Linked DNA regions of Neodiprion lecontei. The protein of the gene in region 2 interacts with the protein of the main gene of each other region in a pairwise test. Links are inferred from orthologs where the notes say so. Each region holds a gene or a part of one and is shown on either strand. Other genes may lie near its edges. The genes, in order: rho GTPase-activating protein conundrum and moesin/ezrin/radixin homolog 1.

Region 1 (12,678 bases), about 27 Mb from region 2:
GTAGGTGCTTTCTCCCTCGCCATTTCTCTCCTGTTGGTCCTACGCTCTTTTCGCTGCGATTTCTGAGTTCCTGAGGGTCCGATTGGTCAGATAAGGGTCATTTAAATCGAATCTGAGACCAAAAGTTTTTCGCCCAAAAAAAAAGTAAGGCTAACCCCTTTCCATTTTTGACGAAAATTTTCGCGATTTTGAAAAGTGCTGGAATCAATTCTTTGGCGCACTATACCGACGTGATTTTGCGAGAGAAATCGATTGGGCGCAGTTCCAATACGCTGCGATCAACGCATCAAAAGTTACAGCCGAAAAACGAGAACCTGTCCTTTCGACATTTTTCAGTAGGTGCTTTCTCCCTCGCCATTTCTCTCCTGTTGGTCCTACGCTCTTTTCGCTGCGATTTCTGAGTTCCTGAGGGTCCGATTGGTCAGATAAGGGTCATTTAAATCGAATCTGAGACCAAAAGTTTTTCGCCCAAAAAAAAAGTAAGGCTAACCCCTTTCCATTTTTGACGAAAATTTTCGCGATTTTGAAAAGTGCTGGAATCAATTCTTTGGCGCACTATACCGACGTGATTTTGCGAGAGAAATCGATTGGGCGCAGTTCCAATACGCTGCGATCAACGCATCAAAAGTTACAGCCGAAAAACGAGAACCTGTCCTTTCGACATTTTTCAGTAGGTGCTTTCTCCCTCGCCATTTCTCTCCTGTTGGTCCTACGCTCTTTTCGCTGCGATTTCTGAGTTCCTGAGGGTCCGATTGGTCAGATAAGGGTCATTTAAATCGAATCTGAGACCAAAAGTTTTTCGCCCAAAAAAAAAGTAAGGCTAACCCCTTTCCATTTTTGACGAAAATTTTCGCGATTTTGAAAAGTGCTGGAATCAATTCTTTGGCGCACTATACCGACGTGATTTTGCGAGAGAAATCGATTGGGCGCAGTTCCAATACGCTGCGATCAACGCATCAAAAGTTACAGCCGAAAAACGAGAACCTGTGTTTTCGACATTTTTCAGCAGGTGCTTTTTCCCTCGCCATTTCTCTCCTGTTGGTCCTACGCTCTTTTCGCTGCGATTTCTGAGTTCCTGAGGGTCCGATTGGTCAGATAAGGGTCATTTAAATCGAATCTGAGACCAAAAGTTTTTCGCCCAAAAAAAAAGTAAGGCTAACCCCTTTCCATTTTTGGCGAAAATTTTCGCGATTTTCAAAAGTGCCGGAATAAATTCTTTCATGCACTATTTCGACATAATTTTGCGACAGGAATCGATTTGGCGCAGTCCCAATACGCTGCGCCAACGCATCAAAAGTTAGAGCCGAAAAACGAGAACCTGTTTTTCCGACATTCTTTAGCAGGTGCTTTTTCCTTCGTTATTTCTCTCCTGCCGATTCCACGCTATTTTCACTGTGTTTTCTGAGTTTCTCGTGGTCCAAATAGTCAGGAAAGAACCATACAAATCGAATTCGCGACCAAAAATCCCCTGACATCAATATCGTAAGACAGCAAGGGTAACACTTCTAGATTTTCCGAGTTGAAAGTTGAACAGTTTCAAGGAATACTAGGATTTCTTCTCTCTTGCACGACGAGCACATTGTTATACTCGTCGGACAGAATCGATGCCACAGAATCTCAACTTGATAAAACTCAGGATAGGATGGTTACACGAAGCAAATGCACAAGTATTTTCTTTGGCACTTTATTAGTATAGGGTGTATGTATAATATTTAACGAATGCGTGTATTTACAGATCCTTACAATAATATGGCGCATATCAAGTCACAATGAGATAATAATGTGGGGTAAGTACGGAGAGTCCAACAATCATGCCTACTTGAAAACATACTTTTATAAGAAGGTACCTAAAAGGGAAGAAATCAAACATTTTCATTATAGTCATAATGATAAATGTCACCATAACTAATACGAAATTCAAGCAGTCCAACCGGTCAGAAAATAGTTTCCTGTTCGTTGAAACGGTATAGTACAGTAGTTATTCAGAGCAAGCCTGCTGCAATTGTATGATGGTAAAGCGATTTACGATTTAGACGATACGCCTTCTTTTCGTCTACTCATAAAGTAAACGTATTCATTTTCTTAATCATTCTAGTATCCCTGTCCAACCGGATCGTGTACAATTCTCGTGGAATTTCGATAGTTATATGACTGTACAATTACAATTGTACGAATAAATAAAACTACTCAAATATTATTACGTGACTGTATATAAACCTTATACAACAATTTCGTAGTGTTACTATCTAGTAACATAAACATCGATCTCATTCACGCTCAATTCTTACACGTAGGGGAAAGAAACCGCATGATGGAATAAGGGAAACCAATAATATTGATCGAAAAAATTAATAAAAGTCTGACAGAACCAATTAAAAATAGAAAACCGAAAAAATTAAAAAGATAATAATCTGCCAATATTAATCTGTATTATGAAACTTCTGCGATCAGATTATACAAGAATACGATTAATAACGAAAGCGACTCTAACACATACGGGAGAATATGATTTCGTGCTACGCGAAAAGATGAATTGAGCAATAGCCAGAAACAGTATTTTGTCTTTGTGTATACGTTTATGTAATATACATAATAGTAAAGTGATAAAATAATAAATATTAACAACATAAAATCATAGAAATTTATAGCACGCGTAAATATGTAACTGAGAATAATTAAGTACTAGGTTTTATGATCTACATTAATTGCAAATTATCGAGTATAAATTTTGAAACAAATATCGGTAATTCCCATTAAACGCCAGTTTACAGTTCCAATCAGTCTGTGACAAATACAGGAGAAGCAACAAAATAAATAAATGAGAATAACGAAAACTATTTATCCTCCAACAATTTTCAATATAAATATTTAATGTTATCAAGATCCCGACAAAAGAATAAAAACTATAAATAGTATGAAATAATGATAACGATTAATGATCTTACAACTATTCTTCCTTATACAACTCAGCATAAAAGATCTGTAAGTTACTTTTTATTTTCGTTATGATATAATTGTAAATTACGATATTCTACTGGCTGGTCAAAATATACAACATATTGTACATATATTTTTGCGATTTTCGAAAAGTTCCCAAGATTTGATCAGTCAGTTTGCGATTTTAGCATAAACAGTGAAAAACCTCTCTTGAAATTTATTTTGAAGCATAAAACAATATTATCAGGGGTTCTGCAATATCTCTATGCTAACCTCGTTAGTCGTTTTATTGTAGAAAACATACGAAAAACTATGATAAAAATAATGTTAAACAAAGAAAAAAAATTGCATCATTTTTCGCATGAACTGAATGCATCCTTAATGATTTATTTCATCATTGATATAGGTACGTATACGATTACCGGTTACGTGCTACAACGGGATAGGCCGTGAATGCCGTGAAAACACATGGTAACGATTATTCTAATTTTAGGCACCAAAGTGAATAAAACAAAGGAGTAAATAATCAAACAAAAAGTAAAATACTTGAAAAATATTCTACAACCAATCTCCTAGTCTAACCTTTGAAACTCATCATATCGACGACTTGACGGACGCGTACCTGAGATTTAGTAGTACTTCTTTTTATACTTACGGTACCGTTCCTCTTCGGTTTGTCTACGGAGTTGATTAATCAGATCGTTAGGAACGTACCACAGGTTATCAACATTGTTTAGAAGAGCTTCTGTCACTTGACAGCACACAGCGGCCATGTTAACTTGGGCTGTTAGGTCGGACTGATCCCTCGGATATATATAACGAGGCGGGAACAGAGACGGGGCGACAATCATCGCCACGTTGTGAATTGACATTTTGTTTGAGCCTTGATTGTGAATGACCAGCTTAAGGAAATTCAGCAGTGCCTTTAAAGTGCAACGATGCTCGACTGGTAGAAGAAGTACCAAAAGATTCAGCGAATACGACAGTTCGCCAGGAGTTTTCACTCCTAAAACACAAAACGGTAAAAACATGATTAAATAACATTATCGCACCCTAAATCGCACCTATCGTAATTTCAGGTACCAACCGTGACTCTGATAATAAGCATCTATAAGTTCAACAGTGAGAAGAGGCTGCGGTAAATCTCTGAGTAATTTTTTCAGCACCGCCGAAAGATCATGGCACGGTGTGCGTCGCAGTAATTTATCGATCTCCTTAGATTTCGAATAGAAGTCAGTCTCCAACTCCGCGCAAAGCGCTTCAACCTAGAAACAATAGACGAGTTGTTACCAATCGTTACTATTCGATTTCAAACCCCTGAGTACTTCGACGTTGTTCGTACTTTTTGCTTGTGTCCCCCGACGCGGAGGATACCCTCTTCCCGAACTCCTCGTTTAGACAGCTCGTGTAAGAGCTTCTGAAAGATCAACGGAACGTTGCTCTCGTCGGCGGTCAATTGGCTGTCTCTGAGCAGGAGAGTGGACAAAGATACTCCGAATAAATTTCCTGCTGAAAGAAATTTGATAAAACCACTCGAACTTGAAGTCAAAACAATTTCTTTCGTAATTATCTAAACCACTTACCTTTACTCCTGCGTTTATTGGGCTTTCTCTTGGTTAAGGGAACATTGTACTTATCGAAAACGGCTGTGAGCTCAAGCCACAGAAGCGACCTAAGTCTGGTCAGGTCTCGCTGAGACAGTAACTCCACTCCATACTTCGGATATCCGTCATCAACCGCAAGCACCTCCGAACCCCAGACCTGAAGAGCCAAAAAACGTTTACATTCAAACGATTTTCGGCTCGATTGTTGCTCTGAGATCAGTTTCTCTCACCTGGGACTTTGCTTCGTTGGTTCTGCACATTTCCTCGAAACTCAGGTGCCCGTGGGACGCGGTTCGGTTCAGCGGATGCGTGATCAAATTCTCGTCCCCAGATCTGCTCAACCCATACAAACTACTATGACTCCGCGTCACAGTCGCATGACCTCCGGAGCTTCTCCTGGTTTTGGAAGAAAAAAAAAAAAAATGATTAGTGACTTGTGTAAATTTTCACTAAATTTTTAAGAGTATCGCACATTCTGTGAGTTTCGTTTCAACAAATCATCACATGGCAATACCTCAGAGTAGCGTGTTCCTTAGCTGCTGAAAGCTTCCCTGCAGGCTCTACATCAAGGTGAGCAGTATTTGCGACTTCACTCGGATCGCTACCGCTTCTTCTCTGTATCGTTGGTCTCGAAAGATGAATAGTGCCAAGACGTTGGTAGGCAGTGAGTTCTATTCCCTCTGCATAAAAAAGATTTTCTACTCAAGTGAAATGTTCATCTTGATTTCGAAGTTTATATTACAAACCGCAGTGAAACAGGAAGTCTTTTTTATTAAACGATTCTTGCAAAATATGTGTAACAAATGTAAACCTACCCGAATTTCCGGCAACGTCTCCTTTCTGCGACCAGTTCCCAGCTCTTCTGAATATTTCCTGAATAGGAATAGGAGACGGAGCTGGATGTGTTGACTGATTTGAAATGGACGTTGGAGCACTAGGTAATCGGCGCACAGCTTCTTTTTCCTCAGTCAAAGGGCGGTGGAATATTGATACAAAACTCGGCACATTTTCGCTGAAAGTAAAACAAAAATGCAGATGTTTATGTGTATAAATTGTGGCCAGTGAACTTAAAAGACGTCAGATATTTTATTCACTCAGCTTACCTGCTCTGATGAACGTCGACTGTAACTCTAGGCGGTGACGGCGGCAAAGCAGTCTCCAATGTTTCCCCAAGTACTGAATCCAGGGAATCTGGTGTCGCACTGCGAGACCTGGTGCCCGTGCTTGAAACCTGAGGTTAATTGTACGGATCAAAGTAAAAGCTATGAAGGCTTTTCAGTAACTAATTTCCGGATTGATTATTTCAGTATTTTTTGAATTAGGCCTGGAATCACACCTCGACATCTTTGAAAACGTCTCTAATATCCGGTTTCCGAACTCGCTGTTTTTGATTGAATCGTTGCTTGACCGTGTGGTTCAGAGATCTGACACGACGTCGAACCGCTTCAGCCTGAGCCCTGGACAAAGGACGAAGAACTGCGCCGAGTTGTTCAGGTTGAATCTCCCTCCCAGCTTTCCACGGCTCAGTTAATTCCCCAAGTCCAGCGGCTCGCAACCATTCAGCCTCCTCTTCCCCATCTTGAGACAAATTGAAAAATAAATAACGAACAACAGAAGAATATCAAACGGCCGATTATAATTGTATAGAAACAATATTTTTTTTCTTCCTTTTATATCATATCCATTTTTTATCACATTCATTTTTTTTTCTCATCAACATTGCCAAGGTCTCCTCAGCATTTGCTGACTATTCACTTTGCTAAATGGAGCATTGTCGATGAAATACACCTCAACTAGATCAAATAACAAGAGTCAGCACGGTGAAGTTATAATGACTCAGACACGGCCTTGCCTCAGGCTATAAGGTACATGACTAATATTGTCTATAACTATATTATAATTCATATTGATATTCCAAACATGATTCCTACCGTCGTAACTACGAGGTCCGTATTCCTCGTCCAGATAATCATCCAGTACTTTGGTTTCCTCGATCATTTTTTTATACTCGTCCCAGTACTCCTGCAGGTTGGCCGTACCCCCGCCATAGGTCGCTCCGTGTGCTCTATCCATCTCGGTGCAATTGGAGTCTGCAACTGTCTACGAGCATCAATGTTGCATCAATGAATGTCCGCATCCAAGCTTGTTTCCAACTTATATAAAATTCCTGAAAATAGGATTAAAAATGTCAGTACTACAGTGAATTTAGTTTTCCTAGTAGACAATTGGAGACTATCTTTCTATCCGGATTGTAATCATTGTATTATTGCTAGATTAGATAAGTAACTTGGCTGAGGATGAAATTCTGAAAGAGTCATCGGTTCTGTAGTTCCCGTAACAAGATGTCTTAAAAACATTACTGCGAAAGAATCGAAAACAGCATAAGATATGTTATAATAACAATAATATTACGATATTACGGTAACGATAATAGAACGAAACCAACCTAACCTCAGCGTATGACAGATCCCGGAGGGAGTGGAGGAAAATAGCCGATGGTTTAAAGTGAGGTTATCTGATCATCGCGAGGTCTCATCGAGCGGTATAACGAGCCTAATTACGGAACGTCGAGGCCCGTTATTCGCTGCAGGCGCGAACAATAGGGGGAATGACGGCAGAGGTGTTTTATCGGGGTAAATAAGGAAAGCAATGACGACTCGAGGTGTCGATCACAGGAATCCGGGCCCGTGTATGAACGCGAATGCGAATACGTGGGCAGACGGGCGGGAAGGCGAAAGACGAGGGGAGGCAAGCGGCACACCCAGCCTGCGGTGTAAATAATAGAAATTTATTTGACTACTTATCGCGGAGAAATTAATGCCAGGCAGACGACCGAGGCAGTTGGGCTCCGTTTCCTCGGTTTCTCCTCCCACTCGTCACCGCGTCTCTCTGATAGCGTGTCGGAATTTTACGGCAGACTATCCAATCTCTCGGACGAGGTTGAAGGTAGTAACGTTACTTTAACGATCTACATTTAGGAAAAATCATTACTTCGATCCTTAGGTTTGTGCGGAATTCAGCTAGTTAATATTCGTAACAAAGAAAACATGTTTCATATTTCGTTAAGCAAATTCCTTGGAAGACGTTCTAAAATTGTACAGCGACGATTTTTTCCATCGTGTTGCGTTGTGTAAACGTTACTAACTTCAGCCTTGTGCTCTCGGCGAACTGCGACGCGCGTTACGTGCATATAAAATTTAATATACATACGTGTATCGTGCATACGTCGTTGTTATTTATTTACTCACGCATAATAATATAATAACCGCGTGCGCGCGCGCATATGCATGATTGTTTTCTCTTTTCCTTAGCTTCGCTGGCTTCGCTCTTTACTCTTCTGTTCACCAGTTAATTTTTATATTTTTCTATTACAGATAGACAAGAAACATCGCGGTATAATTCATTGAGCTCGCATCGCGCGCCCGCCAAATTTACCTGCCATGCGATTTTTAATTAACTTCACTTTGTTGACATCCAGTCACCTGTTGCTCACTCACGTTCCCACACGTATTAACGCAGCCGGATACTTCACTTACCAACTCTTTCAAATGGCACCTGACTCCTCGGGCACCTGCGCCACTCCGATATTCTTTCTCAAATGTGACATTCAGTGCCATCTTGCGATTGTTTTTCAATTCTTCTCCGATCCCTCCGGAAAAACGTTTTCGTATCGCCGATATAGTAGATCTATATCTGACACGAAACACGTTTTTGGAACTAATTTTCAACATAATTCAGAAAGCTTGGATGCTAAAACCTTACCGTAAAACATTATTTGTCATCTGTTGATCCATTTCTATCGCAGGGCAGAATAAGGATTTACTCGATCGGATAGGTTTTAAGCGATACTGTTCATTCGGAAGATCTGTGCTGAAGCATTATACAAAAATCAGTTTGAATTGGGTCAAATTAATGTCGAATTTTAATATGCTGCATATGATGCATCGTCTCATTATCAAATGCTTTTGCAAAAATCGTTCTCTAAATTTCAAATGAAAATTAAAAATTCTAGCCTGGTATCAACCTGTGTCATGTCGTCGAAATTCAAATCAAGCTTGTGAATGGCGAAAATGGAAACGAATATTCTCAGATACCTAATTTCGAAAACATTGATTGAATGCAAACTCATAGTAGACCATTTGCGCGGACATTACAGTTCTGAATGGAACAGCTCGTTTAGTTTCTTGTGACGAATTTCTACATTTGTCAAATAAATATATGCTATCTTCACTTCTGTACCTGCTTCAAACTTCAGACCCACAAATATGGCCAAGAATATTGTCACACTATTTCGATTGAAATTTTAAATGCTTTCATTACTCGGAGTGGATACTACGAGTCACAGTTATGTGATAGGTAAAATGATTATCAGAAGCTTTGATTTGTTTGCAGAAATTTGAAAACATTCCAGTGAGTTATCGTAATATTATTATAACGCGCTCAAACCCTATGCTGGACGTGTCATTTTATTTTTTATTCCTTGTACAATATCGTGTTTGTTTTCATAGATGATCTTCAATCACGAGCAGCATGTTTAACGAAAAACAGTCACCAGCTTACATTAAAAAATTGCGGAGACAGAGGTTCTTTTTATTAGGACTGAGCGGTATTATCGGTTGCGGTATAATCGCAGAATATCTGAATTTTCACAACCAAGTACGATGCATAAGAGATAATAATAAAACATCGCCCGTTCACTGACTTATACACGATGCGAAATTGATTGTTTAATACTTCTGAATTACGACTGTCTCTTTTAGGTTGTTAAGTACACGCAGTCAGTTGCATATCGCGAGATTCAAGAAGCCAAAAAAGACTATACCGCCGAACTGATGAAAAGGAATCAACGATTGTTCACAACGGATCATCGTGATCCAACGTCGCAAAAATAAAACGGACAAACAATAGAAGCGAGGCAATTAAAAAAATCATAGAAATTTTGATGAAATGGCTTTTTGTTTATCCACAAAAAAATCTATTCGGAATATATTACAAGAGAACCGGAATACTTTTTGTCGCTATTCGCATCCTTACTTATCAATATGTTGCGCCTTATTGTAGGCAACCTAAAGTACACAGCGATTTTGAATGCGCAATCGTTGACAGATGACTTGAAAGATGATTACCCCTGTGAAAATTTCGTGATTAGGTTAATACGATGAAGTTTATTCTGCGATAAGTTCACATTGTCTCGTTAATCCTTGTGTTCGCTAAGAAAGGTCCAACTTCCGAAATTACGATGAAATAACTGAATAACTGTTCGTGCCAGGCTTCTGTTTGGCGCCACTTACGTTAAACTTGGGAACCAAAATTGGGTGTTATCACTGATTCATGTCCTGAGAATCGAATGAACGAGCGTGCGTAGTACGTAGCGACAGTCGCGACAGTAGTACGGTTGTATTGCGCGTCCTGACACTGCGCGTGTTTGACGTGCAAATTGGGTATTGTTGATAAGAGTAAAGTGCGCAAGAAAAAGTCTCGTAGCGCAATTAGTACTTAAGGATATAGCAAAAAGAGATGGGAAAAACGATAATTGGAAAATGCGCGGTATTGTGTACGGCGATAGGTTTCATTACCCTATTAATCGCGTTTACCACACCCAATTGGATAGAGACAGACGGTACATTGGAGAGGCCAAAATTAGTAAAAATCGGTACGTATGCAAGATACAAAACAGACAAAAACGCGTCGATATATGATAAGTTGAGTATAAAAATGAAACTGAACCCATCGTCGAGGCATGACACATTTTACAGAGGAAAATGTAAATGGCAATTAAAATCGATGCGCACCTTTTGTAGGACTTTGGCAGGTATGCTTCCAAGGTCCCCAGGATATGAAACACTTCTTCGAGTCGACCAGGTCCTACGGTTGTTTCTGGGTCTTTGAGGACCTCTACTACGACATCTTTGAGACTTTCAACATTAAGATGCCGAGCTCCTTTATTGCGGCGCAGTTCTTCTTCACTCTCTCCATGACGCTGCTTTTCATCAGCGGCGGCTTGGCCACTCTGTTCACTTGTTGTTCCCAACACCACAACAAGTACCAGCTACTCCTCCAGGCAACTGGCTCGATCTTGTTGCTTGCCGGAGTCTGCGAGATGATCGCAATTAAGATATTTGTCACCGAAGACAAGGCTTACTACTGGCTGCCGGACTGGGAGCACAACGTTCTAAGCTGGTCTTTCATCCTCGCTGCTATCAGCTGTGTATTTACAACCTTTTCAGGTGTCCTATTTTTTGCTGATGCCAGGAGGCACAGAATTACCTTGATACAAATAATACAGCAACGACATTACACGCCTAGTACTACAATTTAGGTTTTTAAAAATAGTAACAGAGAAGCTAGATAGTAAGAGAGTGATGTGGATATGTGACGCACAAATATTTTTGTACTCATTTTACTTATACTTCAAGATCTGAGACATATCAAGTATTTGCTTTTTATTTCTATCTCATTATTTTTTTTTTTTTTTTTTTTTTCGGAAGATGAACTTTACAAATGCTCAGAATTTTGAAAAGATACGATAGGCCTTAGCCTGTAATACCTGATCACAGTCCCGACTGGCTTCATGCTGATTGATCTGCACTGAATCTTTATTTACAAGAGGCTTTGACTCGACGGTTACGTGATAATTATAATGTGCCTTGACCTTGGTCGTACATGTGCTCACGTATGTAAAAATATTGTATCTATTATTTATTTATTGCATATTTTTTTTCTCAAGAATAAAAAACATTAGAGTCTCATATATTATGTACACAGTTTGTTGTAAATAAGAATGTCAGGAACATTTTCAATTGAAATTTGACACACTCGTGTAACTGTTATTAATTTTTTACTTCTGTCACATATATTATGTGAGAATTATTTCTAAATAATGTTTTCATTTTGTAATCAAGCTACTCACCAGCAATATGTATTTTCGTATTAATACTCATTGTACATTTGTAAGTAGGGTAGCTAAGTTACATCTCAAGTCTGATGACGGAATAGTATTTCCCCATAAAAAATTAATAATCTTGTTTCGAAAATATATTTAACGTAATATGTTTGTATACGTATCATACACATGTATATTAGTTTGAAAAATTAATTTAGTTTATTTTTCTATGTATGTATATTTTTTTTTCAAGCATAGAAATTCCGCATAGAGGAAATATAATAAAAAGAATGAATAATTTATAAAAATTTTGTCAATATAGTTATTCACTAATCTATGCTACCAGTGTTTAAAACAGGTATATATTATTTTTCGCTCACTCACCATAGTCTCGACTCTCTAGTGTGTTAATACAAGAGATTCTTGATTCAGAAAAAACACAAAAATTTGTTTACGATTAATACATAATTGTCAGAGAATCAACGTCCGTTGATTATACTGCATCATATGTAAATGTGTATAAAATACTTTAAAATCGTGCGTAAAAATATTACTTAAAAAATAACGCATCATTACTATCGATAAAAAAATTTATAGTTATATATATGTATATTTATTTATAAAGTGTAAAAATGGACGGAGTCAATTTTCCTTGGAAATTATTGGATGATTATATGATCAATTTATATATAACCAGTGCGATGCATGCCGTGATGGCTCTGAGGAGTGGGATGCATTTGCATGACTAAATTGCGTGACTGAACACGCATTTTGTAACCCATGCGAGCATCGAGGTATAGAAAGAAGGCGGCAAAAGCATGGAACATGAAAGATATAACAGCAAAAGCGTAGGACCAGGAAAGATGATTGAAGTTCGGATACATGAGCCAGTCTCTGCGCCAGCACTGTCCCCCAAATACGGAAACGGCCATGAACAACGACACAGCTGTAAAGAAAACAGGAAGTTTGAGAAAATCGACGACGAGATTCAACCGTTTCAATCAATGTTATCGTAGGGAAGATTCTGACCAGTTATTGCGTTGAACACACAGGCGATGGAGCTAAGTATCCATTCGTATCTGAGAACGAACTGTAGCGGCCACCTGATGAGTACTAGAGCGATTATTGCCTGGCTAGAGAAAGAGTAAAGTAACCCAATCGTGACGAATCCCTGAACCGCCATGAGCCACGGGGGCAGAAGCCACTCTCTAATGACGTAGTAGTAATGAGAAAAGACATGGTGACACCCGTTGA
Region 2 (12,739 bases):
AGGATTAGAAACGTCCGCGCTCAATTTTGCCCATCGGCGATATTCAGGTCCGATTTCATCGGCAGTCGATGACCTAAAAAGGCACAACGCTGTATTCCGAGGTGGTTTTCCACTCGCTCAAGTCCTACGGGAACCAATTGGTACTTCGATCACGTAGGTATAACATCGGCGTAGCTTCTCCAATCCCGTGCAGTTCTCTTCCTCTTCTCTATTTCGCCTTCATTGATCCGAGCCGAGCCGCCTTTTGCTGTTTCTTTCTCCTAATGTCATGATTCATATTCCGTGACCTTTTGGCCGCTGAGAGCTTACCTGCTGCTGTAGATAGGTGATCCGAGAGCCCATGTTACACGCACCTGTGTCGAAAGCGTAGGATAATCCGTATCCCCCTCATACGAAAAAGTCGATGACGATTATATGTATATATTATTGTAAGTAAACAACATAGGTATAATGTGTGTGACTAGGAGAAGAGCTTTCGCTGTGCCTGAACGGACCCTTACAATTACATTGAATCTGACATGTTCGAGACCACCGGTAGTATCAGTTTCCCATGTTAAACGAGTGGTAGCGGATTATACCGGTGGCCTTGAATGTGCCGGAATGAATTTAAGGGTCTGTACCTGTGACGTTGAGTTGAAAAATAGACCCTGCGGAAACACATGTCGCGTTAAAATTTATTTAAAAAATTATATATTTTTAGCGAAATACTTTTACGGACTAATGATTATTGAAGTTAGTAACGTTGGAGCAACGAAACCGAGATTGAAAAACATGCTATTTTACGGGAATTGAATTTGCAAATACAACGGGTTTTTCATCGTGTATTAGAGAGATGAAACGGGCACACCTGACAAATACCGGTTGGTTGGTAAGAACCGCGCTTACATTAGTGTATAACGTGCATGTATCGCGTGTATGCAGCCTTAACGATTAGAGAGAGGAAATCGAGGATTCTAACGCGCGCGAGCTGCGAACGGTACGAAAAGTTTTCGAAATTTGTAATCGCAGAAACGTACTTAATTGCCTATGTGTACGCTGAAACCCGGTTCACTGAACGCAGTGGGGCACAGATAAGCCTCCGAGACACGTAGGAAGGGGCCTTCGTCGTCCCGCTGTATACATATATAATGTACCTTGGATCTCGGTCACACGGATTTGCATTTATAAAATTCAAAACTACGACGACGACTCGGTCGAGCCGCTCCGAAAAGATGCGGCGCAGCACAGTGACCGAATTATTTCGTTCGGCATAATTGAGTGTTTGAATGAAAATTTTTTTTCCATTTTTAGGGGTGCATAATGCGTTTGAAGCCAAAATAACGAGGACGTGTTTTTTGTTTTTCGTTAAGAATGATAATTTTTCATGTTGTACGTGATTGAATTTCATTGATTTTAATATATATATAGATATATCTTAACATGGGTGACGTCACAATGTTATAGTTTTCAATCTGTTATATTAATGGCAATTTTGATTCAATCGAAAGAATATAAATTACGTCCAAAATATTTTTTTCCAATCTACAAGAATATGAAATAAAAAAATTTCATTGAAATACTCAATTCACAGCAAAACTTTTTAATACTGCAATCACAAATAATCGTGATTATTCAGCAGCCTTGCATCTGTTATCTTATACGACGTGCCTAATCCTTTGAGGGGAAAAAACAATACAATAAATTACTGACCCAAAACTTGTCGATCGGATGATGCTTTCAACTTAATAATTTGACAGAAAATTTTCGAGGCATCGTGTAAAATGGTCCTTTCTTTTAAACAGCAAATTATGTTTTTCCATAAGTCTCTCCCATTTTCAAAATCAATTAATCGATGAATGTTCAACGGGGTTTGAAGAACATTTTCATATATCGAAAATCACCTCGGGCATGATCCAATTTTATAGTTGGAAATGAATATGAAAATTGCCGAGATGAAAACACGGCGAAACTGTACGATACGTACTTGTGGTAAAAAAAAATTAGCATAAATAAATAAAAATAAAAGGGAAGTAAAAACGTTGCGAATCGCTCGGGATGTCCGACAATGAGATTGACGTTCAATAGTGAAGAGTCATTCCCGTGCACAGGGACGAACCGAGCGGAACATAACTGAAATTTGTATCGCGTGCGAGCGGATTCCGATCCCTGCGGTTCATCGGTAATTATTTATTCTCCTGCATCAAGCATCGGCAACCTGTACTTGCCTGCCGCGTTATTGTTGTTCGACTATGTTTGTTATCCAGTCTGTGATGTAACTCTGCAACAGTGCTAATAATTTATCTGTTTCAGGCTGACAGTTTCACTGCCTAGAACGAGCCCAGCACAGCTGCCAAGATGCCGAAGTCGGTAAGTGTGTGGTAGAATAACGGAGACCAGATAACGCGTCCACTACTCTTTGCCATTGTTATTATCAATGTTAGGTGTTCAGGGTACTAGAATTAGGCCATTTTATCGCGCTGTAAAATCACCTCCTCGACGACGATTTCCTTCCTCGCACTAATTACGAAATAATCTCGTTATCTCTGTCGGGACAAGGACGTCAATCGCTTATACCTATATTCTCATTTCCATTTCTGTTTTAAAATGATTTTTTTTTTTTGATTTTTTACCGTGTCAATCCATTCGAATCCTGTGTGCTACGAAAGTTTGTTTGCAATGGTATACTCGAGAAAATACGAGGACAAATGTCTGAACCAATCAGCTTTACTAATTGTAATACAAGTCCTTTTTGTAATAGGTACTATTTAGACGAGCGTTGTTTTTTCCACGTGAAGAATTATAGTATTAGAAACAAGGGCGTTTTTTTTATTCTTCTTAGGCAGCAGTAATTAATTAATAAGTATAAAATTATGTAATATACGTTGTTTTTCTTTTACTCCAGCAAGATGTTAGGCCGCGAAACCTTATTGCACACAGGTTTGTAATTGAGTTTTCATCTCCTGTCCAATCGGTTCCGTAATAATATGTATAACCTACACATAAAACAGACGACAAGGACAATCTGATCGAAGCGATTCTCGTTTTATCGTATGAAAATTTTTTTCCCTTCTCACCTACTTAGCTGATCGTTATCGTTGCAGGTTTTCAATCTCAATCGATGTTTGCAAATGTTTAATCAATGCATTTTATCTTTATACCGCGTCGGTAACTGAATCTTGCAGATATTTATAATACATATCGTATTTGTAAATTCTGTTTCAAATTGTCTTGTATTTATATAACAATGGGAAAAATCATCATCCGCTTGGACGATGACGATAATAATGTCTCGCTGTATATTATCGTTACACATATTTCGTTGCAATAACCTAGTTTGATAAATAAAAAAAATATTTATACATATTACTACAAGACGTATATTATATTTTCTGAGGTGTGAGACACTTTGAAGGCAAAAGCGGGCGGTTTCTACCTGAGATAAGATATCGTAGAGTTGACGGCACCCGTTCTTCTTCTTTGATGAAATTAATTATAAGCAGATTTATCAAAGTACGACAGGAAAGAATGAATTTGTTTAAAGTTTTCCCCGCGATTATTCGTCAGACCAATAATCCATTTACCTTCCGCATAAAACGACTCATTTCTGATATGTACATTATCTGCAAATGACTCAGAATTCGTCATCTTGCCACCGGCCACGAAGCGAAGGAATTTCATCGGAATTCTTTGCAAATGATGAATGAAATGTATCCGCATGTTGAATATTTTTTTTTGTTATATTACGAATTTCTCGCAAGCCTTATCGGTTGTTTTGCCTTTTCGCCAGCTCGTTGCAGGCGTTTGTGTAGCAAGTTTCAAAGCTGGGCAACGTCGTGAGTTTTGCAAATGTTGTGACGTATGCATCATAATCGAAGCACGTACGTTACAGCACCATTTACTTATGTACTACGAAGAGACAGAGACCGCCGACAGTTTATTGCTCGGTAGCTGGATTGGTTGAGATCAGACAATTCAATAGTTGGTGACAGAAATTTTGAAATTTAACTTTGTCGTATACTATATCAGATCTGTAATGGCATAACGCCAGGTTAAACTCGCATTATAGATGCGTTGTATCCATAAGTATAATACATTTATACTTTCATTTCGCATACTGATATGTGTATAATGTATAATAATAACACGCGCGAGAAGTTAATGGAAACAGGCTACGGTTTCCTTTTCAAGACGAGATGCCGCATTTAACGGTGACACCTTATCCCGCTGCTATGGTGTGAATCATTCACGTATCAGATCTATACTCAATTCGCTGGAGAGTCATGAGCTGAATTAAATACATATGACGATAACTCATTTCGCGTCTACACACCTATATAGGTAGTATACATAATGACGTTTAGTAATGTCCATGACGCGATTTTTAACAGTTTGTAGAATCCGGGGTCTAGATCTCGACATTAAATTCGAATCATTATATGTATATAAGCATCGGTACAATGCTCCTATTCCAACGGGACAGTGCAGGGTTTTGTGACGGAAAATAATACGGTTATTTTAAAAAATCGGATCTACGCATATTGATTTTTATTTATTTTTTTTTTCTTGAATATACAATCGAGAAGAATATTTTTACTTGTGATGCAGGGATGTTTACTCAGATCGATATGTTTGACTTGGAATAATGGATCGAGTAAATTGGAAACGTACAAGCTCCGTGAACTAAACTTGTAGAGATCCATAAATAAAAATGATTTTTTTAAAATACATCTGATAATCTAATTCAAACGCCGGCAGAGACTTGAGATAGCTGCCGTTATATGATTATTGAAGTTCGTGACGTTAATATAACGATGCATTTTTTGAGAAAATGTTATTCTGCAATATGAGAATTGTCAGTAATATAATATTGTTATAGTTCACAGAATTTCAAACGATTTTTCGCACGAATGCATCGTTTCGTTATCGTTACAAATTTCAACCTCATGATCCAGAAAAGTCGTCTAAGGACGATATTTAAGTTGTAATCTGCATGTACTGTAAAAAAATCCACCACTTCAATTGGTCTGAACTGAAACTAACCCGTGCCTTAACGTTCCGACGGTAGTCAGATTCTAAAAATTGACATTTAAAAAAAAATAATCCGCGACAGTATCGTCAACATAATGGGGGAAAAAAAAGACTAGAATCGAACAGTGTAGGCAAATCAAACAGGTGGCGCGTGTTTTAGAAAGAAATTGCAATTCTGTCGATAATTCAAATTTGATCGTCGCATCAAATTCGTAACTTGAAACTAATCACGTCCGCACTTTAGATTCTTTTTCTTATCTTCCGGGGTGGAGACGCATCTTTGACGTCGTACGTACTCCGTCGTTTCTTCTTAAATTTCAAGAGCCGCTCGTCGTTCCCAACGAACAAACGAACGTCGACGGCCGAGGGGATTGGCCAACCTGCATCACTCCTATCCCCACCTCGACCGGAGAGAAAAAAAGCCGGCGGTTAACCGGCGTCGTCACGTGATCAAAGTCTTCTTTCTTCGTGTTCGAACGGCGAGAAGTTGGGCGCAGTTTGTGTTCACCTCATCCGAACGATTGATCAAGCCTTTTGCTTTCACTGCAGTTTCGTTTTCAAATAGTTTTTTTTTTTCTCAAATCTTATCATTGTCGCGGGTTTTATCAAGTGTGGGGGGTGAATTTCGCGTTCCTGGATTTTGCTTCTTTTTTCGAAAGAGGACAAGGTGCCGGAGAAGGAACTGAAAGCGAGAGTGTTCAATAAAAGTGGTTGTTCGGTTTTTTTTTTTTGTGTGGATAATTTCAAACTCGTGCATCCCTGGATAATTATAACATCTGACAATCGACGGATATCGGTCTCTTCAAATTTTTACTCCTCGTTTTGATACCTGTGGCGTAGCGTCGTCGATCCGTTTGCTTCTCCTTCGGGATCTCGTCTACAATGGTGGCCGGTGCTAAAATGGTACGATTCAACGAAACTATGTACACATTTATGATAGAAAATAATTAAATCAGTTTAATCGATTACTCTGTAATAAGGTAATGTTTAAAATTCGATTTACCTGATTACTCATCGAGCTTGCATTCTTCCGTTACACGCAATTAATGCCTGATTGTTACACAAACGGGCGGCGTTATTTGGAGCGCAATTAATGCCACTCGTTTCTACCGGATGTATAAGGAATGCTGTACACAGTTACTCAGTTTTGTATGACCAGGGAATTATCGAATCGATAATTATACAGGTGTTTAACTTTTTTTCATCGATAATGGTGCGGAAGAAAATATTATTTGCATGATTTTGACAAACGAAACGGCAATTCTGATCGAATTACAATATGCTGCAAATAAAATTTACTCGGAAATTTAGTCACTTTTCTTTTCCAACTTTTCAACAAGATTCGTATTAATGCGGGACGAAATGAAATTCGATATCCACGAATCAGACTATTGTAATTATTAACGACCTAGAAATTCATTGTTGCTACCACGCATCATGAATCGGGGAAAAAAGAAGGAATTCCTGCGTGAGAAAATCAGTATGGTGCATAAAGGTGCGTGTTATATACACCTTTATAGTCTCGAGGAACAAAAGAAGCCTCAATTTCGTTCTCACGGCAGCTTCAAGCTATAACATACCAGCGTAAAACTGCTTCTTTCATTTTGTTCGGCGTAAAGTCCACTCAAGTTTCATATGTAACGTACATATATATCATATGCGTAACGCCTTTCCATCGTATTATCAAGAATTCAATATCGCTTTGCGCCTATTAACATATATTTTCTTGGCGACAATTAGCCGAGGCGTGCACATTAACTACTTAGACATAAAATCTGGGATGCCATTTACTTCCGCGTTAGACGTAAGAAATGAATTAAAAAAAAAAGAAAAAAAACGCAGGTAATAGCAGCAATCAAGGTTCGAAGATGTATAAAAGTGCAATCGCGTGTAAATGGCTGCATGACGATGGTCAAAACTTACCTATATATGCGGTATACTTGTATTAGTTTTTTTATTCGCCGATGTAGATATAATTAGATGCGTGTATTTCTGTATAGCAGATCGTTGCGTAACGTATAATAATTTCCAATTATTCGCCAAGATGCATTTCGTAATAGCTGTTATATACGAGTCCCGTATTATACCCGCCAGCAGCATTGAAATCTTACGATTAACAATCGTGTGGTTATATTATATGTATAGGTATTACCTTGTGGCTATACCGCTGTGGCTTTAGCTTCTCGCCCCGAAGGCCACCTGTTGTACTCCGAGAATTCTCTTCTTCTTCTTCTTGCTCTTTAGTTCTTACTGTTTATAATAATATATATATATATATATAGATATAAAGATATGTATTCTCGACATCGTAACATATTAAAAACTTTACATTTCTTTCGTGAGTTATAAGAAGTTTTTTGAAAAAATATTTGATCGATTTCAGTTTATTTTTACAACTGTAATACTTCACGTTATGCATTATTACTGCAGTATATGTCGTTACCAATAAAACTGTATTAAATACGTTTTAAGACGAACGTGGGGGAAAATTGAAAAAAGTATAATCGATTTTCTTTTTGTTCGTTGGAAACAGACGAACGTGAGGGTGACGACGATGGACGCGGAACTCGAGTTCGCGATCCAGCAGACGACGACAGGGAAACAACTCTTCGACCAGGTTGTCAAGACCATCGGTCTAAGGGAGGTCTGGTTTTTCGGTCTGCAGTACACAGACAGCAAGGGCGATCTCACGTGGATCAAGCTCTACAAAAAGGTAAGACCGAGTAATAAGATGTAAACTGTTGATTTGAGATTGAACCCATTACATCGATCCTGAGTGAATTTTCGTTCATCAATTATATACTTGGAAGTCTCTCGGAGATGAAATTCACTGGCTAAAACTACGCTTGCCATCGTATTCTTTGGCGTGAATGAACGCTTCGCGACCGACGAGCGTTGAAAATAATATTAGAGCCGAAACACGATCGCAAGCGTGTACCGCAAAGGCCGCCATCTTGATCTTGTGTCAGCGCACTGTTTGCTTCGTTTGTGTTTTGAATGATTGAAAAATATATTACACGCGGATACACACAGTGTTTTCATCTTCCAGGGTTTGAGTAATATTTTTTGTGAGTGAACGTACTCGAGCTTGTGCAGTGTTTTTACTGACAACTCTCTTTCGGTATTCAATGTATGCTAGAAAAAAAATACGAGCTTGTCACTCGTCTTAATCGGTAATTAATCAATCCGCTTCGATACCAACCTGCTACTAATGTGTATAATTGTCAAATTCCAAATCCCACGTTTATACATCATCAATTTTGATGACAATTATTATTTCTTTGCATGTATGTTTTTGTGATATAAACCTCGAAGCTACAACGCGTAGAGCTCGAAAATGATGTAATTTTACGGCGTAGCGTAATTGTACGGTAGTATCATACATTATAGGATAATGTTGTCTACATGAACTTTGTTGTGGTCTGGTGCCTGCGAGTGCAGGAAAAGTTGAGGGATTTTTTCAACCGCATGACCGACCGTTTCAATATCGACGATTAATTATCGATAACCTAAACGTCGTTTCGATTAACATCTCTACGTAACGCGATTGACAAACAACGTTTGCCCGCAGCGTCGCTCTTTGCAATAATAGTTTACGTATTACATATAATAGGTATACAGTACGAAAAGATAAATTTAGCTTTGAAATTTTCCTCTTAGTTGGAATAATACATAATTGGTATGTAAAAAAAACTTAAAACAGCAAAAATTGGAAGATTTTCAATAACTTTTTTTATTTCCATAACCAGCTGCAAAGAGCTGTTAATTGTTTATACGAAAACTTTATTAAGTTTGTAACGGTCACCTCAACACGAAACGAAACTTATTCTACATCGGCTGCAGAAGTTGGTGGTAAAAGTTTCGGCTCGCCTGTACATTCGGTGAAAAAATATTCTCTTGACGAGTATAGGTACCTAATGAAATATGTGAGCGCGGCGAGACTGCATCGGCCACAAAACCGGTCCATGTCACGTGGGATTTACCGCTTGTACGTACACGTACCGTCCTTAGGATCCAAATGCGAAGCCTATTATCCTCGCTTTTTCAAACCGTTAGAAATTGTTAGACGATAATTAACGATATTAATTTATTCTTATATTCAGGATGAAAAAACAAAAAATAGTCCGCTTTACACCTTGTATTATGTGATTACATGGACGCCACTTTGCCACATAAATTTGTAAACTTATATATTGTATACCTCTATACGTGTAGACGTAACACGCATCATGTCTGTGGATATATTTATAAAGAAGGCGAGAAAAAGTCCAACGAGTCCTCGTCTCTGCCGTTGGGGTTTCTTGAGATGAACCACTCTTCTCCACCGCGATAAGGAAAAAAAATGTACGTATGCAAGGAAGGAGAGAGAGAGAGAGAGAGAGAGGGAAAAATCAGAAAAAAAGAAATGACAAATAACACGTGTGGGACACTTTGTGATGTCACCGCCATTCTCGCCGGATACGTGCGTAACTATACATATATGTATAAGGTATATACATTATACATATCCACTTTACCTTATCTCTCCGCAGTCCTCAGCCCAGATTGCCTCGTGTCCTGAACTTCTATAACCATACGCGGCGCAAAGTGTAGTCGCCTAACTGCGACGAAAGAAAATCTCGGATCAGTAGGGCATTTTCCATGTCAGTTTGACGCCGGGTATTTTTGTCCATGAGTTTTGCTATTAATGAGAAAAAAAATTCTGATACTTGTCTAATTCTAAGATGAGACCAAATTTCATAGAAATTTTTCTTGAAACTTTATTTTCGCAGTTTTTCAGAACTCGACTAATTATTACTCATGTCTTTTTTTCCTGATACTTACGAATTGTTGAACGGTTTGAACTTTTCTTTAAAATGTATTTTACTGATTAACGTTCATCAAAGTCGGTACAGCAATAAATGTAGCAGCCAAGAAAAAAAAAAGTTTTTTTAACTGACGTACGTTTTTGTAAGTTCGAAGAATCCTTAAATTAATAATAGTGATTATTCCTAGACTCTGTTGAAACGATTAAAATGTAAAATTGTACACGAGTACGTATCTAGTGCAAAAAAAAAAAGAAAAAACACAGTAAAAAACCACACATCTTGCTGTATAATAAATGTTGTTTCCGTGTTTTATTCGCTTCAAGCCGAAGTGCTAGATTTTTATGCAAAATTTTCACGGTTCTTTCATATTACGTGATATCTCTCGATCGCAATTTAGCTGCCCAACTTTTTGTGTTTTTTTCTTAACGACCGTTTCGAGTTTCGATTCGGAACAAGATTAAACAATCGCGAATCCCTAGTTGCACGCGAATGTCGGTCGGTAGTCGTCATGGTTGGCGGCTTTCACTCGCAACGCACCTTCACCTTGACACAGTCGCGATTGTAGCGATGATTGTCGGTTTATTCGCTACTCTTCGAAAGCTTATGTGCACGTTATGCCTCGTATCACTAACAGAAAACGGTGACGTTTTATAATTACCAAAAAAATTCATTAAATTTTCTGGTTACGGTTCCAAAACTTGTTTTTATTTTGTACCAAAGAATAGATTTTTTTTATTTTCAATTTTATGGTTAAAAATGAAAATAGTTCAAAACTGTGCGGTTGCCACAAGTAAAAATTTCTCTCGTTGTAGGTACGCTACACACATTTGACCTATTAATTACGTAAGATCCTGATCGTCGACGAGAAATTAAATTTTATTCAATATGTCACGATGGTTGCAACAAGCATGAAATATATATATATTATTATATATATATTTATATATATATATTTATATATATATATTTATATATATATATATATATCTTTTTATAATATCCAAATTTGCATCTATGCAGATTAAAGATATTCTTTATCAGTTCTTTAAATCTTGCTTCGATTTCACTGGTTTTATGTTCATTTCTACTTCCATATTCATCTGCGCGCGCATCGAGCGTAACGGTTTTTTTCCCTTCCTTTACCTAATTCACCGCATTTTTCAATTAAGTACACACAATTATCTTGCGGTAATGGGTAAAAGGAAAACGGAAAATAGACGACAAAAAAATTCTTCGCTTCTTACTACAAGTTTTTTGAATTTATTTACCTCAGCTGCTACATAAGAATTATAATTTACAATAAAGTGACGCAGATTTTATGTACGGGACATTCTGCGTCAATTCGACCTCACTGTTCTTACTTTTTTTTTAATCTTAAAATTTGAACGAACAATAATATAAATGAACAAGAGATCGAACTAAAATTCCCAAGATTTTATTGTACATATTCGACGTATTATTCTATCCAAATACAGGGAATCTATTTAAATCAGGTAACTAGATTTTGCATTTTTACCTGCATTTTCAAGTCGGCATCATAACAGCGTCATGTCGTTTTTTTTTCTAAATTACGCAACGAGCAATTTGCGACACCAATCTGCCTCATTTAGCCTTCTACACTTATAATAATAAAACATATTTGTCTCTAATTAATACTTTGATCAAAGTTCGATCAACTACACAGTCAAATGCCCCGTTTTCAGTAGTAGTAGTATAAGCAGTAGTACTAGTGGTCGGTGTAATTATGCAAACAGGTGGAGTTACGTAAATAACTTATAACGTATGTAACTCATTTGATCTGTTCTGTTTTTCTCGATATGGATGTATAATTGTATACGACCGTTTTGTTCACATACCTATAACACGCGGAAGATATGCAAATTGGATTAAACGACGGAATTCAGTATTTTCTGCTCCATGGTGACAATTATTTATCTCGTCACGTAACAATAATATTAATTTCCATGAATTTATAGAGTTATTGTTACCGCAGTATAACAATTCTTCATATTGTTATTGCGTATCTTTACTATTTTCAAATTACCTCCATTTTCGCAATTTTGTGCGTCGGTTATTTATTTATTTTTTTTTTTTCTATATCCACATGCTACAACAGAAACAGAACGAACTATTCAGCCTGTCGAGTATAGTAAATTTTCAATCATATTTTGCGAGAATAAATATTTTCAATTCATCAGCGTTGGATTTAAGGCGACGATCGATCAAGATATATTAGAAATTGATAAGTAACTCGTACATTTCTGTATAATCTGTACAACAGTGACGTAAGTCGTGTAATAAATCTAAGAAAAATTCTTCTAGATTGTTATCACTCTTCGATTTTACCTTAAAAATACGTGCGGTGGAAGTGGAGAAAAAACAAGAAATTCACTAGTATATGTATAATCGGCTATAAATTCGAAATAGTTTCGTAAGATGAAACCGATGCAGTACCTCGTTATTCGTGTAAAAAACATATGTATACGCATATAACGAGAACATGTGTAATATCTCTTTATCTCGCGATCCTCGAGGCTCATCTTTTAAAATAAAACTCCATTCACTTACAGTTTGTTAATTCGTGGCTCATGACTCACGGCTTGGCCTCACCTGTATTTACAATCCTTTTAGATCTTTAGAATAATTTTTGTGGTTTATATGCGGAGGATATTATACTGGCCGTGACTTTGGATCAATAACAATTCCATGTATTCAACAAAATGCAGTTGGAAAACTTACCGACTTGTTTTCTGAGTTTTTTTTTGTTTCTCTGTTTTTAATTTTTATTCATGTATGCAAATTTATTCCAGCAATTTTTTTCCCCCCTGAAAAGAATAACGATAAACTCGTTTGTAACGTAAGGTACATCGGATGAACTTCGTTTATGCATATATAACTTTAAAAGCTTGATAATTCTTCGGAAC

Evidence for each region.
Region 1: the proteins of moesin/ezrin/radixin homolog 1 (region 2) and rho GTPase-activating protein conundrum interact in binary tests that used the Drosophila melanogaster proteins (3 or more experiments, as listed by UniProt). The link is inferred for Neodiprion lecontei from reciprocal best matches to the Drosophila melanogaster genes Moe and conu.

What each region holds. Positions count from the first base shown.
Region 1 is NC_060262.1:806,948-819,625, reverse strand, and holds the start of rho GTPase-activating protein conundrum, read right to left. Parts: upstream 8,097-12,678; 5' UTR 8,078-8,096; exon of another isoform or gene 7,977-8,077; intron 7,508-7,976; exon of another isoform or gene 7,342-7,507; intron 7,336-7,341; exon of another isoform or gene 6,988-7,335; intron 6,709-6,987; 5' UTR 6,615-6,708; coding exon 6,473-6,614; intron 6,120-6,472; coding exon 5,878-6,119; intron 5,773-5,877; coding exon 5,645-5,772; intron 5,554-5,644; coding exon 5,357-5,553; intron 5,222-5,356; coding exon 5,056-5,221; intron 4,938-5,055; coding exon 4,772-4,937; intron 4,699-4,771; coding exon 4,521-4,698; intron 4,447-4,520; coding exon 4,280-4,446; intron 4,203-4,279; coding exon 4,025-4,202; intron 3,944-4,024; coding exon 3,593-3,943; intron 1-3,592. Other genes in the region: uncharacterized protein LOC107222650, read left to right, coding at 10,059-10,194, 10,343-10,860; uncharacterized protein LOC107222649, read right to left, coding at 12,108-12,370, 12,454-12,678. UniProt on the Drosophila melanogaster protein: GTPase-activating protein (GAP) for Rho1; functions with the ERM protein Moe to regulate Rho1 and control proliferation in the developing epithelium. Recruited by Moe to the cell cortex where it negatively regulates Rho1 activity.
Region 2 is NC_060262.1:27,734,811-27,747,549, reverse strand, and holds the start of moesin/ezrin/radixin homolog 1, read left to right. Parts: upstream 1-5,504; 5' UTR 5,505-5,889; coding exon 5,890-5,910; intron 5,911-7,540; coding exon 7,541-7,720; intron 7,721-12,739. UniProt on the Drosophila melanogaster protein: Involved in connections of major cytoskeletal structures to the plasma membrane. Together with wgn, involved in control of axon targeting of R8 and R2-R5 photoreceptors, independent of egr.